2 linked regions of the Alligator mississippiensis genome follow. The protein of the gene in region 2 binds, or shares a complex with, the protein of the main gene of each other region. Links are inferred from orthologs where the notes say so. Each region holds a gene or a part of one and is shown on either strand. Other genes may lie near its edges. The genes, in order: ADAP1 and KIF13B.

The links.
Region 1: the proteins of KIF13B (region 2) and ADAP1 are in contact, whole or in part, in a crystal structure (PDB 3MDB), measured with the Homo sapiens proteins. The link is inferred for Alligator mississippiensis from reciprocal best matches to the Homo sapiens genes KIF13B and ADAP1. Residues at the interface, in NP_056069.2 of Homo sapiens: Val451, Asn452, Leu453, Asn454, Ala455, Asp456, Pro457, Leu463, Arg512, Phe514, Asn516, Gly517, Arg531, Leu533, Asn536, Asn537, Phe539; in NP_006860.2 of Homo sapiens: Trp137, Asn143, Gly144, Gln145, Phe146, Leu147, Pro186, Ala187, Lys188, Ile189, Gly190, His191, Pro192, His193, Tyr211, Glu213.

The regions. Positions count from the first base shown.
Region 1 is NC_081836.1:49,651,178-49,660,199, forward strand, and holds the start of ADAP1 (arf-GAP with dual PH domain-containing protein 1), read right to left. Parts: upstream 3,927-9,022; 5' UTR 3,765-3,926; coding exon 3,680-3,764; intron 1-3,679. UniProt on the Homo sapiens protein: GTPase-activating protein for the ADP ribosylation factor family. Binds phosphatidylinositol 3,4,5-trisphosphate (PtdInsP3) and inositol 1,3,4,5-tetrakisphosphate (InsP4). Regulates the incorporation of CD63 and CD9 into multivesicular bodies.
Region 2 is NC_081824.1:6,375,366-6,383,936, forward strand, and holds the start of KIF13B (kinesin-like protein KIF13B), read right to left. Parts: upstream 3,639-8,571; 5' UTR 3,586-3,638; coding exon 3,531-3,585; intron 1-3,530. UniProt on the Homo sapiens protein: Involved in reorganization of the cortical cytoskeleton. Regulates axon formation by promoting the formation of extra axons. May be functionally important for the intracellular trafficking of MAGUKs and associated protein complexes.

The sequences.
Region 1 (9,022 bases), on a different chromosome or scaffold from region 2:
CTTTGTTCTGCTATAAAAATTGTTATGGTGATACAAAGCTCAAGGCAGGACATCCATGCCCCTTGTCAGGCCGCCACAAACGCCCAAAATTCTGGCTGCACCAATAGGTAGCAAACATTTGTGTCATTTGTTTGCCATGGACATCTGTTTGCTTAATGGCAGGAGAGCACTGGCAGCCCGGAGCTGCCCACACTCTCCAGCCACCCCAAGCAGGCACACCCAGATCTTCAGGGACCCGATCCTGCATGCCCTGGGAATTCCCCTGCAGGATTGGGCCCCTGAGGCCCGGGACGCACCTGCCCTAGTTTCTCTACTTGTAGATACAGACCCTGGGAGCTCCCTCTGTGCGTATGCACCACCTGCTGCACCCTGACTGCGGACAACTGGCACCGCTGTGTTGCCCAATGAAGCAGCTAAGCTGTGCACATCCCAGCACAGCTGATGTCGCTTCAAGGTTGATGCCCATTTGTAGCCCCTGACAGCAGCAGATGTGCAACCATGGGGCATCTTGCAAGTTTAAGCAAGCTCACATTTCCAAAACCCTTTCTGGCTGCAGAATATAGCAGGAAGCAGAAAACCTGCCCAGGAGGGGGTCAGACTCGATGATCTAATCGGTCCCTTCCGACCCCAACATCTATGCAACTCTGAAACCATAGGAACAGGTATTCTTCCCCTCTCATCCTGTGCTCACAAGCTCCTTATCCAGCCATGTGCATATTACAAGTCGAGGAAGATGCCATGGTCCCAGTGTCTGCGGGAGACAAGTTGCAAGTGGTTTCTGGCATGAGCTCTCTTCCCAAACCACAGTCGGTTATGAGCTCAGTACTCTCAGCTCCAGGGGGAATTCAGCTCAGTACCCCACAGGATCAAGCTCCGTAATGATTCCCCCTTCTGCTAATGTTTCTCGCCTTGCTGCTCTTTTTCCTTCTCACAGTCACATATCCTATAAGGATTAGATGAAATGTATACACCTATAGGTGGAAATTACCTTCTCCCACTGAACCGATAGCTCTGGTTTATCGCCGTGTACTAACAATTCTGATCAAAGGGATAAAGATGCACTGGTTTTATAAAGCAGATGGTTTTGATGCTACTAGATCTGCTGTAAACTACAGTGCCTCTCAGAAGGTATTGGCACTTTTTTCTTCCAATTTTTGTTTTTTCCTGCGTAAATCCATGTCAGAGAAGTTTGAACCAGCAGATACACAGGCGCACATCACGTACGAATGAAATAAGGTGGGGGGGGAATAGAAAAATCAAGAGGTTACTGCGCTTGCAGTTGGACCGGGAAGCTGTCTCCCGTGCTGAAAAACACCTTCAAGTCTATTGAAACGGACTTGCTCCTCCTCCCCGTTTCCTACCAGGTGTGACACACAATGCAACAAAGAGATGTGAACAGTGTTTGCTGGGATGCCTACTGTTTCAAGTAATAGTCTTATTTTAGTGGCTTTTTTCTGCTGTAATTAAGTCTCAAAGATTAGGATAATGCAGGTTCATTGTTTTGTAAAGCTGCGTGGAATTTGGGGAATTAAAACATTTGTCATCAAAATATGGCCTTTTTCTGCAAATGAAAGCTTTTTTGGGTGGGAAAAAAAGCACAATTAGGTTTTTACTAAAGATCTTTTCAAAACTGTTCAGCAAAAAAGTGTCAGTGAAAGATTTCACACATTCATTTCCCCCCCCCCCAGTCTTTGACTCTCTTCTTCTCTCTGTGTTTGGCTCCTGTCGTGTGGGTTAGCAGGATGCTACTTCCCCTGCCATGTGGTCCAGAAGGAGCAAATTGCCACTGTAGCCCGAGGAGAATGGATCTCCTCTCCTCCCTCTGAGGCTTTAAGCTCATTTACCATTTGGGAGGCTGTTCTTGCATTGTCACAGCCCAGTCACAAGGAGAGATTCAAGATAAGCTGCTCGTGACACCACCTTTTTGTGCAGAGCACCCAGCACAATGCCGCGTGGATATGGCACGGGGCCGGGGTGCCCTACCTCAGTGCAAACACAGTAACAACAACAGGGGAGAGAAGTTTTTGCCCCTAAATTGGCAACCGATTCCAATGCTCAACAATGCCCAAATGTTAAAGCAAACCATTTGACTCTGAAGACAAATGAATCAGCTGCTTTCTAAGCAAACCAAATGAAAGGGCTTTGAAAACAGTGGCTTTTTCTCTGCCTGCTTCTACTGTTGCCTCCATTATGAGAATCCCTTCAGCAAAGGCTCCTCTCCGCAGATGCTCACTGACTCATGCATCACCCCTTGTCTTTGAGAGCCAAGCAGATGCACACGCGCTCACACTCCCCCTCACCCATCTCTGACTGCTCGGGATGACAGTGGACTGCCCACTCCTCTGCCACCCGGGGCCACGTGGCTGCTCCATCACTGCTCTCATTGTCTGTATATTCCTTCTTCCCCTTTCTGTTCTCTCCTTTGCCGCTCCTCATCTTTTTACTTGCATTTTTTCGAGTAAACTCTTTCAGCTCGCTTTCCATCTCCACCTGCCCCGTGCCCTTGCTAAGAGAAACGTTAGATCCACAGAGCCCTCAGCGGAGCGCATGTCGGCTCAGACATGAATCAAGTCCCACAGGAGATACAGAGGTAGGCCCTCAATCTGCAGCCCCACAAACACGAGCCACTCCCATGGCCGGCTGCACTGGTGGCTACTCTGCGGTTGCGCTAGAGCCAAGGAACAAGTAGGCCAGGGTGATGCATATCAAGGTGTTCCCACCACCCCCTGTACCCGCTTTTTTCCCCCCACCATCTACTTTTAGGGTTAGAGAGAAACACTGAAATAGTCCCTGCTCCCATGTGCCCCAGTGTGAATTTGGTTTCCACACGTTACATGCAACGGACACGCATGTTATAACATAGCTGAAGAGCAGACAGAGAAGTCACCCCTGGAAATAGGCACAGGCAGGTGCAGACTGTTTCAGAGTCCCAGACAGAGGTGCATCTTACAAGACAGCTACTGAGCTTGCCCACAATAAAAATCAGAGACCGAACTAACAAGAATTGGTCACAAAAAGCTATAGCAGTGAGAAAGTGGGGTTAAGAGCAGGGGTAGGACCCAAGCACAGCACAGCACGGCTGGGGTTACGCTGAGCCGCAGAGAACCAGCGCTGAATCACAACGGCAGCACGCCTTGCCTTGCCTTGCGTTGCGAGACAGCGGCCCCTTGTCCACTCTGCTCGTCCCAGAGCCCTGCACGCCCGCGCCACCCAGACCCCAACCCCAGCACTTGGGAGCACGACAAGAAGCCCTCAACACGAGTCTCATTCCTCGCTCTCCGGTGCTCCCGGTCTCCTCGGGTGGGCTTTGTGCGACTCCGACACCACGGATCCGGACCGCCGGAGCCCATCGATCCCCCCTCGGGCAGGAGCGGCTTCGGGAAGGCTCCCATCGCCGCACAAGGAGGTGCCTCAAGCTGGTGGAGCCGGGAGACGGGGACAGCGCCCAGCCACACCACACGTGCCGGGTAGCCATCGGCATCACCCGCCAGGCACCTTTGGGCGATGCTGCGCAGGCACTTCTAGGCCCTTTCGGGCGGTCCAGCAGTCGGGGGCTGCCCTCCCTGCAGGGTCCCGAGGCAAGGCACCAGCACCCCCCTGGTGCCTCCCGCATCAGCAGCAGGGCCCGGCCCGGCCCCTCCGCACTGCAGCAGGTGCGGGGCGGGATGCGCGCACTCACCCGGGGCGCCGCAGTCGGCGCACAGCTGGTTGCCCGCTCGCTGCACCAGCTCGCGCAGCGCCTTCTTGCTCCGCTCCTTCGCCATGGGCTCGGCTGGGCTGGGCTGGGCTGCGCTTCTCCTCCTCCTCCGCCGCCGCCGTGCGCGGGGCTGGGCGGGGGCTGCTGGTGCAGAGGCGCCGCCGCAGGTGTCCCCGGCTGCCCCGCGCCAGGTGCCGCCCAGGGGGGCCCCGGGGGCTCCGCAGTCCCCGGCCCCGCCGCCCCGTGGCCGAGCCGCAGCCTGCAGCCGGCTCCCAGCGCCGCCCCGTCCCTCCTCCCGGCCCTGCTCCACCCAGCCGGTGACACCGGCCGCCTCGCCCCCGCCTGCCGCCTTCTCGCGGCTCCGCGTCGGGCTGCCCCAGGTCCTGACCCTGCCAGGGAAGTAAGGGAGCTCGGGGGGTGTTTCGTGCAGTGCTTCTGGTGTATTTTGAACCGCAGGAGAAGAAGGAAAATGCACCTCCCTCTTCTAAATGTTAGGTGGCACCTCGGGGTGTCTCGTGCCGGGCTGTTGGCAGAGGAGGCACAAAGGGCTTGTCCAGGGACACGGGGGCAAACCAGAGTGAGACCCAAGTGCTGAATCCTAGGAGAGTGCCCTAACGTCTCCAAGTGTTACTCAGCACGTTACATCACGATCCGGGGGCACGCCTGGTCACCAGAGCGCCCCAAGGGATGACAAGGTCCAATGGTCACAAACTCCTCCAAGACCGCTTCAGGCTGGACATATGGAAGAAGTTCTTTACTGCCCGAGCCCCCAAGGCCTGGGACAGACTGCCGCCAGAGGTGTGGTGCAAGCACCTACTCTGGACTCCTTTAAGAGACATTTGGATGCTTATCTTGCTAGGATCCCTTGACCCCAGCTGACTTCTTGCCCCTACTCCTCACTCAATGATCTCCCGAGGTCCCTTCCAGCCCTGATGTCTATGAATCAATTAAATGTATACGAGACGATGCCCATTGGACTCATTTTAACGTGTATTAGCGCATCATGCAAAAAGCATGCTAATGTGCACTAATCAGTCCAACGAGCATTAAGCATCACACAAAAAGCGTTCATTTGCGGTTATGTGCAGTAGCACTGATTACGGTGCATTAAGTTATTACAGGTACTAACACAATGCACGATACACGGCGCATTAATGAATGTGCAGACGTGCCCACTTATACCTAGATCAGGCCTAGCCTAGGAAGTTCCCATCCCAGGGCAGGTTTTAGTCCGTGCAGCTTTATCCTGAGCTGCCAGGGCTTTGTCTGGTTTTGTGAAGGTGCCTAAAATTGGCACTTTGTTCAGGCATCCCTCGTACCCCCTGTCCATGCCCCCAAGATTGAATCTCACCCTGCAAAGACATAGAGATGGGCCTCAGTCCTTAAAAATGGCAAGACAGTGTGGGAAGGAGTCCCACTGACTTCAAGCTAAAATTAGGCACGTGTGAAAGGTTTTTCAGAACCAGGATTCAAATAATCCAACAGAAAACCATCTCTCCATCCAAGTCGTGACCCTGATCCCAGAAGCAGGCCCATGCACATAGCTTTCTTATGCAAATAGTGCCCAAGTAGAGCTACCCAGGTGAGGAATGTTACACACCAGCATGAGTGCATTCATGGTCAGGCTTAACAGGTCTAAAATAACCCCTAAACTAGAAGATAATTTACATAATTATCTTGCCAGTTGTAATGACATACACAGGGTATAATGAGCTAATTTCTGATGCTTTGATATAGTTTAGACAGGAATGATGCAGCCTTGAGCAGGGGTTGGACTAGATGACCTTCTAGGGCTCTTCCAGCTCTATTTTTCTCTGATTCAATGACATTAAAGCAGTGTTTCCCAGCCCTTTGATGCCCGGGGATCGCTTTTTTTCTGGATTAAAATTGGTCCATGGGCCTGATCCTGCCAAGTGGGGCCAGCCTGGATTGGGCCCTATCTGGTCCATTTTTTTGCAGCACTCCCTTTGGGAATCAGTACATTAAAGTGATCCTGGGTGAGGCTCTGTACATCACCATAACTTGCTTTTTCCATTTATGGGCCGACGATCTCTAAACACCTGGCCATCATACTAAGCAAAGTCTATAGCTCTTACTTCCATAGGTAATCCTACTGCTTTTGACTTGAACTAGACCAGCTGCAATACCAGGGCCCCAGCTGGTACTCCAAACAGCTGGCTTGTGCCCAGTCAAATCTCTTTCCATTTACACTGATGCAAATGTAAAATAAACCTACTGCCTTCAGCAGCGTTATCCTGGACTTACACCAACAAATCGAAGAGCAAAACTGGCTCCAAAGCAGCATCTTAGCTTCAATCCTGGGAACACTTGAACACGATTAGCGGCATCAGTCAATGCAAGGCTAATACAGACACCAGCATTTGCAGGATAAGACCCTTATATGAAATCTAAGTTGGGATGTTACTTTTTCACCTGGAGACCCAGTCCCCTGGCCCAGCCTGCCCTCAGCAACATCTGTTGCATGAACACTCAACTCTCCCCACTACACCTGAGATAGCAAGTCATTAAGTTCTTATAAGAGGATAAAAAAGAGAGAGAGAGAGATTTTGTTTTAAAGTCCCTGTTTGGCTTTCCATCAAGGCTTATTGATTCTCTTAATTTTTTGTTCTCGTGGTTGCTAGGCAATCCCTGTTTCCCCTTTGCACATTGTAAGCCAGAGTTGCAGAGAGAAATTTATATCTTGTAATAAAATCAAATAGTACAGGGGCTGTAGCAGAAGAGAGCTGCTCAGAAAGGAGAGTGGGGGTGGGGACAGGGACCAGGACAGATCTGTCAGCAGAAACCATCATCATTTAATCAAATAATAGCTTAGAATTTGTAGCACGTCCCCCGCCAATAAAAACTTTACTGTAAAAATTGCAATCCAAACTTCAAATGAGAAGAACAAACAGTGCCTGTGAAAAGAGGGGCCCAATGTAGGAAAAGAGTGGGAGGTGGAAAAGTTATAACCATGGGGACCAAAGCTGGCACCGTTTGGAAGACAGAAATATTGTCTACAGAAAACGACTGGGATAAAATAAGGTGGGGTCTGACCTCATTTACATCATGTGGCTGTATGAATGGACTCTTGATTTAACACACTTTACAGATTCTAGGTTAACAACGTCTATTGGCCTCAGCTACTGCCACCCGGCATGGCTCCAGAACAGCCGGCGAGAGCATGCTACCCACCACCAGCTTCGAGTCTGGCCTTGGGCTGCTACGCGGAGTTATTCCTGATTTGTACCGACATAAATAAGAGCAGAAACAATGATACATGTTTGTGCATCGTGGAGGGGTGGGAAGGAATGAGCTGAGAGGCAGCGAGTTCCACCTGGCAAAGTCCATCACAGCCAGGGCCCGGTCACCTACCCACCTGTGCCACAATGATAGGACCCCTTATGGGTCAGGGAGTCCAGATCAGGCTTTGGTTTTATATGGCCAATGCCCACTGGAGTTGGTAGGAGCCTTTCAGCAAACATTGGGGCATGACCAGCTAGGGGCTCATTTGTGGTCCTAGGGAAGTCACTGGCGATCCCTCGCATCCGCCCTCAGCTGCACTGGAGACAGAGTCATCATCTCTGCTGTGTTATCAGACAAATGCTTTCTCCGCGCTGCTGAGTGGCATGTTCGGTTGGACTTCATTACATGATGTTAAACACGTTTAGCCCAGTGAATATTTTCTGAATCACAAAACAGTGGCCTTAGAAAGGGACACGACTAGCAGTATCCGGGGCCTGTGGAAATGCTGCCTGGTGTGACAAGAGTTATGCTTCAGGCAAGAAACTATGGAGGTTTCATAGGAAACTCTCTGTCTTTCTGGTGACATTTTGAATATGCTTGGTCAAAGCTACCAGGACGTCAGCTACTTTTCCCCGCTTGGCATCAGCTCTTTCCTCTCTTTGGTTCCTTTCTCTTTGCCTTCGTTTTACCATGGAGGGTCCGTTTACACTGTTAGGCAGTTAATTATGACCGCGTCAGCATTTTCATCTAAAAATTTCTATTTTTGGCCTTTCACTCGGCTATAAAAATCCCTTCCAAGACTGCAACTGGCAAGAGCCAAGGAGCAGTTGTTTTACAACATTGAAAAGTGTATTAGCTATTGGGAACCAGGCAAAGCACAACATGCAAAATTAAGGTTTCCTAAAGGCCGAACCTGTGATGAACGGAACAGAAACCAAGAGGAAGCACTAGCTATAATATGCTGATATTTGATACCAGTAATTCAGAGAAACTAACTGAAACTCTTAGACTCCAAAAGCTGAATGATTAAATCAATGCCACTAGTATGCAAATAAAAGAGGTACTAACCAATTCAAACACTAGTACCTTAGAGCGCACTCACACAAGGAAGTGGTGAATATTTCTACGCGCAGCCAATCCCCAACAGGAAGATCAATCATTCATGCCAACGGTAACTGTGTACTGGAGCATTATATAAAGCAAATAGGGCACCTTCACTTTCCTGAACAATACACAAGAGGCAGCCCAGCCCTCATGACTGCAGCTTTACTTATCAGCACATGGGGGGAAGCAGCGCCTCCAGTTTCTAAGTGAATCAATAGTAGTCACACTATGGTTTTCCTGTCAAAAATAAACTCAGCCCTGGAGGTTTTGCTCTTGAAGATATACTTGTGTATTGAGGTTTTCTATTTATGGCCATAGACAGAGCAGACATTTGAGAAGGCTGCGTTCTGGTGAACTTGCAAGACAAGGGGCCAGGAACTCCTATCCTGACCCCCCTCTATAACCTAGAGCAAGCCGCTTCACATCTTTGCCTCAGTTTTCCCCTCTGTAGAATGGAGTCAATAACCCCTAAGTGCATTGCCCATGTCCTCAGTCTGCTGCAATAAACTCCACCGGTGCTTGAAACTGGCTGCTTCCCCCTCACATGGCTTTGGAGGTCTGGATCTCAGGTCGGTGACTCCTACTAAATAGTCAAGGAGAAGTCACCAGAAGGAAAGTTATGGCTGCTGCTGCTTTTCACAGTCCCTCTACCACACACTCAGCAGGCTCTTTAAATGAATTAGCCCAGCCCAAGAGAAAGAAAGCACTATTTCCTCTGCTGCTGCTAGCCCTCTACCTCTACAGCCCACAATACCAGCTCAGACTCAGGCTGGGGAGGTGCGAGTTTTCCTTGATTTATCTCTTAGCCTGTATCGTGTCCCTGAAATGCCCTGGAGAAGGGGGATACAAAGGTGAAGGACTGGAAGGGAGGGCGGGGAAGGGGTTATATATCTGTATTCATCTGCTCCATGTCGTACATGCTATGAAAGCATGTCATCGGTGTGTGGATCCCGGGTACTTACCATACAGAGCTGGGGG
Region 2 (8,571 bases):
GTACACATGCACCAACCGGTGATACCTACACCTGATATCATTCGGTATGGTAACTAAACTTAAGGAGGGCGGGAAACCTCTCCTAATTACAGAGCTATGGCAGTGCTGGGGCATTACTTATAATACCCATATTTTAAACAAACTTCAGTTGAAGTCTGCATGTCTTTTCAGCCTGCCAGCAATCCTTGTTTTAAGTCCAGGCAAACTTCTTTCAAGTTTTCCTGTTATATAACTAGGCGAGCACAATTCATCACCTTCTCAGTTTGAAGATGGTGTAATATGTCTGAGCGTGCTCCCCCAGAAGCGCGCAGGACTGCAAGATCTCACTGGAAACACAACTCAAACTGAAGATGTCATGTGATGGGGGTTTGCCCACATACAAGAATGAATGACCAAAAGCTAGCTAAAACACCCCTTGTGTAGTCTGCTGTTTGGTTTTACGCAAGACGAAGATCCTAGTAAGTAAAGATAGGTTATGGCGTGGCATATGGCATTTCTGCCAGCTTTTTTTGCTGCTAAATACGCTGTTCACTGTATGAAAACTTTATGCAAGTAAATAAGTCTCGCGAGATGCTGATCCAGCAAGGAGCGGACTGAAATAAATGTGCAACGACAGCAGCCGCCCAAGAAAAGGTTGGTTAGGGGTTACACTTGGCTCTTGATACAATGGTGTCCAGAAACCAGAGCCAGAAACCAAGATAATATTGTCTTATGCTGAACACATCTTATCCGGTGGTGACTGCAGAGATCAGGCAAACACGAAACCAAAAGATCCAGGTAATCCCTTAGAGCAGCAGGTTTCAGCATTGACAGGAGGACACTCACTTAGCTCACCAATTATTTCCTTTGGCAGCTTGCACAAGCCCTGATCACTCAGGACTGCTGTCCTCCTTGACAGTGCATTCAGCACCCCTACCGCCTTACAGCCCTGGGTGATGCAATTGTATTTTAAGCCAAACCAAAACTAAGACACCCTATTCTTTACCTATGCGTCACGACATCCTTTTCAACAGAGATCCCGGGTTGTTACTGTTTATACTATGACTTTTACTGTACATGCAATTAGTAATCAAGACCAAACACTACACTCTACCTAGCTATTCATGTTTTGGAAGGATAATCGTGAATAGCATCGACTGTGCTTTGAATATTGTCATCAGGGTGCAACACATGCCACTTCGTTTCTAAAATGAGTTGTGTCATAAGAACGAGATTACTCACGTGTATTATGTTTCTATATGCAAGCAAATCGTTTATGTTACTAGTATACATTTCATTGCAAATCACCGCAGTGGGAATGCAACCAACTCCAGAGTTCAGGGCACGGCACGCTGCGTAGCTGCTGCTATTGTGCAAAGATGCCGAGGGAAATTCCTTCCCTTACAAACAATGCCTTAGGTGGGAGCTTTGACACACAAGCGGATGAAGAAGCTTTTCTCTTACATTTAGCAAACAAGGTGGTGCTGGACTAATCTATCTTGAACGGATGAATGAAGGTCCAAATTAACGTGACATCTGAATACCTGGATTCCCCATTACCATGCATTTCCAACCTGACACAGATCAAGCCATTGCTCTGTCAGGACGGCAAGATAAACAACGGCGTGCTTTTGTTACGATTCCTCTAAAACCGACGCACCGACACAAGACAGCGTTTTGCGCCTGGAAAGGTGGCAGGCATTTTTGCACCTGGAAAGACGGGCACATTTTTGCACCTGGAAAGACAGCACGCATTTTTTGCGCCTGGAAAGATGGCACACACATTTGCCCCTGGAAAGATGGCATGCATTTTTGCGCCTGGAAAGACAGACGCATATTTGCACCTGGAAAGATAGCACGCATTTTTGTGCCTGGAAAGATGGACACATTTTTGCGCCTGGAAAGATGGACACATTTTTGCGCCTGGAAAGGCGGGCACATATTTGAGCCTGGAAAGATGGCACGCATTTTTGCGCCTGGAAAGATGGCCACATATTTGCGCCTGGAAAGATGGCACACACATTTGCCCCTGGAAAGATGGACACACATTTGCCCCTGGAAAGATGGCACGCATTTTTGCACCTGGAAAGATGGACACACATTTGCCCCTGGAAAGATGGCACGCATTTTTGCGCCTGGAAAGGCGGGCACATATTTGCGCCTGGAAAGATGGCACGCATTTTTGTGCCTGGAAAGATGGACACATTTTTGCGCCTGGAAAGATGGACACATTTTTGCGCCTGGAAAGGCGGGCACATATTTGAGCCTGGAAAGATGGCACGCATTTTTGCGCCTGGAAAGATGGCCACATATTTGCGCCTGGAAAGATGGCACACACATTTGCCCCTGGAAAGATGGACACACATTTGCCCCTGGAAAGATGGCACGCATTTTTGCACCTGGAAAGATGGACACACATTTGCCCCTGGAAAGATGGCACGCATTTTTGCGCCTGGAAAGGCGGGCACATATTTGCGCCTGGAAAGATGGCACGCATTTTTGTGCCTGGAAAGATGGACACATTTTTGCGCCTGGAAAGATGGACACATTTTTGCGCCTGGAAAGGCGGGCACATATTTGAGCCTGGAAAGATGGCACGCATTTTTGCGCCTGGAAAGATGGCCACATATTTGCGCCTGGAAAGATGGCACACACATTTGCTCCTGGAAAGATGGACACACATTTGCCCCTGGAAAGATGGCACGCATTTTTGCACCTGGAAAGATGGACACACATTTGCCCCTGGAAAGATGGCACGCATTTTTGCGCCTGGAAAGGCGGGCACATATTTGCGCCTGGAAAGATGGCACGCATTTTTGCGCCTGGAAAGATGGACACATTTTTGCGCCTGGAAAGATGGACACATTTTTGCGCCTGGAAAGATGGACACACATTTGCCCCTGGAAAGATGCCACGCACTCAATACCATTTATTTTCAGTTGCAAAAATGTGACGCTCCTGCCTTCCCTGGAGCTCAAGTCATCTCTTGCTACTTTCGCTTGACAGTGCACCTGCACGGGCGACGTCTCACATTTAACTGAATCACGCCACTTACTTCTACTCTGAAGTCCAGCTGGAACGTGTGCGGCGCACCACCTACCCCTAGACACCTTAAAAAACAAACGCCATCCACGTTGAAGAGACAGACTGCTATCCAAATCCTGCTTGGGGACGCTCTCTGGAGAACCCCGGGTGACCAGAAGGACGGACGCGAGGGCCGGCTCCGGACGGTTTTGGGCGACGGAGGAAACCAGTTTGCAGGCGCGTCCAGAAAGAAACCAGCCCGGGGACCGCTCGCGCTCAAACCGAAGGAGGGGGGGTGACGACACCCCGGTTTCGTGACTTCGCTGCACGCTCCTTTGGGGGGCAGAGGGGTTGGGGGGGGCAGAGTGACACGGGCACCCCTGGGGGGGCACTATGACACCCCTGAGGGGGACAGACTGACACAGGGGGGGCGGGGGGGGGCAGACAGGCACCCCTGGGGGGGCACAATGACACCCTGGGGGGGGGCAGACTGACAGGCACCCCTGGGGGGGGAGGGGGACACTCACCGCGTCGGTTTTGGGGGCGGACGCGCACCGCCACCTTCACTTTGGAGTCGCCCATCGCCGCCCGCTCCGCTCAACTCGGCGTGTCCCTCCTCGGTTTCCGTCCTGCCCAGGAGCGGGGCGGCGCTTCGCGCTCCACAGCGCCACAAAGGTCCCACCCCCGTCCCCGCCGTCGGGACTACACTCCCCAGCGCCGCCATGACGGGCGCGCGGCCTGCTGGGAGCTGTAGTCCACCCCCCTCCCCTAAGAGGGGTATGTGTGCATTGCATCCTGGGAGTTGTAGTACCCGCGGGTCTCCCCTCGCTCCGTGTGGCGCGTGGCATGCCGGAAGGTGTAGTTCCGTGCCTCCCTTCAGAGGTGGCGCGTTGCCTCGTGGGAGTTGTAGTCCCCTGACATTTTTTCTTGATTTTTTTTTTTTTTAAATCCCCAATTTTCTCTCCAAAAAGAAGAACCCCCCAATCCACATTGTTTTCCCCGTGGTTGCAATGCAACACCACTGATAGAGAGACATGTATATTGCAGTGTTTCATTTCAATCATGGGGGAAAAAAGGTGGATTTGGGGGTTACTTTATTTTTTTTTTTTTTTTACTAATTTTTTTGTTTTTTAAATCAGAGAAAACCAGGATCCCTGTGACGTGTTGCCCCAGGCCAGGGGAGCAGGGTCCCCTTCCCAGGCGTGGCAGCCTTGCAGGCTCCGCCACCGACTCGCCACATGGCCTTGGGCAAGTCCCCCGGCAGGTCGGCACCGAGGCAGGGAGCGGTGATCTGCGGATGCCGGGATGAGACCTGATAACAAAGTAACCCCAAATCCACCTTCCCCCCCCCCCCCCGGATTTAAATAAAACACCACTAATAGAGAGATGTGTATATAGAGGTGCTTCATTAAAATCATGGAAAAAGGTGGATTTGGGGTTACTTTTTTTTTTAAACCAAAAATTAGGGTTTTTTTTTTTTAAACCAGAGAAAACCAGGATCCCTGATGATAAGGATCCTGCTTGGTTTTGGGAGGAGGGCAGCGCTGGCTGCTCAGCGCATCCACACGAACCCTCATCCTGGATGAAACGAACCCGTTTCTTCCCCCCTCCGTCGGTGCCAGCCCACAAAACCTGGAACGCAGCAGCAGACAATCAAGCCTATAAATGAATCGGGTATCCGGGTTGTAGCCGTATTGGTCTAGAGGAAAAGGCACTCAGGACTCGTAGTCGAGATGATCTCTTTTATTAGACCAACAAGATTTTTGCAAAAAAAAAATCTTAAATTGCAAGCTTTTTTGACTCATTTGTGAAACCCTATGAATTATGAACTTCCATTTCTACCTAGGAGAACTTTTACAATCTCTTCTCTCATGCCGGAGGAAGGGTGTTTGTGCCAGAAAGCTTGCAATTAATTCAAGAAATGTTTGCAAAAATCTTGTTGGTCTAATAAAAGAGATCATTTCTCCTGAGTGCCTTGTAAATTAATCAGGCTCTCACAATGACAGAAAATGTTTTTTTTTCTTCTGATTTTGAAGGGTGGGGAGGCACTCAGACAATGAGGGGGACATTATCAGCAGATCCTTAGATAGACAGGGTCTTGTTCCCCGGTTCTGATAAGGAAAGATGGTTGTTGGAGGGGCTGGCAGAAGAGGGAGGTCAGGAGTTGTAGGGTCTGGCCTCATCGCTCAAGAGAGGATGGTAGGGAGGTGCAGGTTGCATGCATAGTGCAGAGTACTAAGAGTTGCTTGTATGATTATTTAGCAAGATTTATTTGTTTCAAACACAAACGCTCCACCTGCAGCCAGGAGCGACGTTTTCAAGGAGGTCTGCAAAGTTCCTACATTTCCCCATCAAATGTTCCCCACATAGAAGTCATGGGTAAAGCCGCCTTGTGATGGCAATAAAAACTCAGAGACGCAGAGTTGCATTTGGTTTTAAGGTCAGATTTACTGGGAGGTTGCCTCTTTCATCAGAGAGAACAGAAGCCTCCGGACTTTGATCCCGAAAGCTTGCAGAAAAGGACAATTTTCTTGTGATTTCCCAGGTATCATTTTGGAACCAAGAGTTCTAGTTTTCTGTATGTCTTCAGGTAAGATATAGTGCTTCACCTCTGACTTGAAAAGCAGCTTGTCCAAGTAGACCAAACACAAAAATATCATTAAAAAATAATAATTTTTTGCTATTTCTGTTGGTCTAATAAAAGGTATCAACTTTCAAGCTGGCATTTAACTGACACGGAGAATGGCATCCACAGTGATTCTCTACCAGGGCGCAGCAGTATCCCGGGTTACCTTGATAACCTTTCAACGGTGCCATGGGATGCCACATAAAGTTAGCACTGCTAGGGGTGCAAACACGATTCACGAGATAAACGCCGGCATTTCAAATATGGGAACTTTTTACCCTCTTTAATTTTCCCAGAGCCTGATGAAGGACATTTGAGCCCAAAAGCTTGCAGAAAAAGAGTCTACTATGGGTCCTGATTGCAGAAAAAGAATGTTTTTGCAGTTTCCTACTTGGTCTAATACAAGGTATCATTTCTGAACCAAGAGCTCTAGATTTGTGCATGGTGTTTCAAACAGGAATTCATTGTTTTAAAAGGATCTGCCCCGTCGTGGTCTTTCTGAGCTCTTCGCGACAGAAGAAGTGCTCTAGTGTTTTTCTGTAGTCAAAAACAAGTGAAAACGAAGAGCTGGCATTTTCCATGGGTGTCCTGAGCATAAAGACGAGCGTCTCAGATTTAACGATGTTGAGAACCACTGGTCTACCACCATCCTCTTCAGGTATTTGAAGACTGTTACCAGACCCCACCCCAGTCCTCTCTTTTTTCAAGCTAAATAACCCCAGTTCTTCCAGAAACAAAGATTAAATGAAAATGTCTTTACTGATCAAAGGGAACACCACATTCCCAGCCTGCTGTGTTCAGGTTAAAGCTAGTGTGTTGAAGACAGAAGCAGTTTGCCGCTTGGACTCAGATAAGCAGTGTGGCCCCCAATTTTGCAGAATGATCTATACTGATAGGTTTTACACTAGCAAAAAATGACTCTCCTGGTGTAAAGTGGGTCCTGCTCTGAATTTCTTTTTTCTTTCTCAGGTTCCCACCACACTTCACCAGCTTGGCCTGTCTGCAGTCAGATCCTACCACAACTATTAAGCACTATTACGTGTGATCCTATTCCACCCTGCGCAAGTCCCTGAAATGTCATTAATGCAGCAGCTCCTGTCATTCTATCCTCTTTGCCTTAAAACAGTCACAAAAAAGCAGCAAGAAGGAAGAGGACCCAACCACCTTTCTTTATTCACTGTATAACTGTTTTCCAAGGGTTTGAGCCAGATGGAATTAGGGTTACACCTGAGCACCCAAGTCCATTTGGTGTCTAATAGGTAGAGTAAACTCTGGCCCCTAGAGTCTGTTTTAATTACATTTAATGGGATTATCAAGATGGGCACATACTAAAGTTGATTGAGTTATTTGCTACTCCTACTCGTGATTTCAGATGTAAAATTACTGTATTTACTTGAGTTTTGTTTCCCTTTTAAACATGGGGGGAAAGCCCTTCCTCTTGGAGTCCAGCCCCAGCTCCAGCCCTGATTCGGGCTTGGGGTCCGAGCTGCATCTGCAGACCCCCCTGCTTTCTGCCTAGGGTGGCCATTGGTCCTGTTTTATACCAAACTGTCCTGTTTTTAAACCAACCCCTTGTCCCCTGTCCATTCCTGAATGAGGAACGGACTGCAAAAAGTCCTGTTTGTCAGTCCTTTAATAGAAATACATGTCAATCATTTCTCCTGAGGGCGGGCAGGTGGAGCGCTGCATTTGTATCTGCTGGAACGGCAGTGGGACTGGGAGGAGGCTCTTGTCACCGTCTTTGCACCCACAGAGCAGCCCAGTGAGTCACGGGGTGTCCTGCTGCATGTGGAGGGTCAGCTCTGGGCCTCTGGGCTCCTAGGAAGCTGGGCCAGCTCATTAAGCCATGATTTCTCTCCCGAGACAGGCAAACCTGTCCGCCTCTTGGGGAAGGAAGGGAAGGTCCTGCTAGCCACCTACTCCTGCCCACTGTGGCTGCTGCTCTCCCCACCCGCTGCTGCCTCCACTTGTCTCTCTCCCACCCCCACTTACCCTCTGGCCCTGCTTTGGTCTGGACACAGCAGTGGCAGCAGTTCTGGCTCTGACCCCGGCTCCAACCCAGTCCTGGGGCCAGGCCCAGAGCTGGCACTGCTGCAAATGTGGCTACCTGTCTGGGCAGGGGCTGGAGCCACCATGTGCTCTGTGCCCTGGCACCGAGTGGGGCCAGAGCCAGGACTGCGGGGAAGTGGTGGCAGGAGGGGCACAAGAGCTGCAGGGGGGTCAGTTGGCAGGGGGAAGGTGCTGGGTGGGGGGCAGACACCATGGGGGGTAAGTGCCATAGACTCTAACGATTGGGGGGTCATCTTCAATTCAAAGTCGTCTTAGATTCAGGTAAGTACAGCAGATTGCAACGTCTTTGGAGCACTGGTTGTGCCTTTTTATTACTGACAAGAATCCGTCATGTTTTGAATTCAGCGTGCATGAAAAATAACGACTGCACGCACTGCGATTTCAATTATTGTTGCTAAGATTTGGAGAGCCTGCCTATGGAAAAGTCTGCAGGATCATTCAGTCGGTCTCGCTGCAGAATTGTAATCGCCGGGGACTGGAGAGAAGCTGGTGATTCTTCTTTTGTATATTTTCTGCAGATTTTCCTAGAGACAACAAACCTTGGCATATTTGATATCCGGTCATTTCAGGGCATATCAAGATGAGGGACATTTTGCAAATGTTTTGAGTATTTACTTAGGTAGCGATGCCCATGGAAATTTCCCTCTTGTACACACGGTGCTGAATAATAAATGACACCTATTTGCATAAGAGGTTTGCACTGGTGCTGCTGCATCCCTGTCCTTACTTCAGTGTGAATTCCTAGACAAGCCCTTTACTTAACCTCGTCTTGTAGGGAATTGTCTGGAGCTCTACCAGCAAAAAAAAGGGGAAATATGTGAATTCTGCTCCTGTCTCCACCCTCCTCGCTGTAATGAAGTGCTGACTTCAAG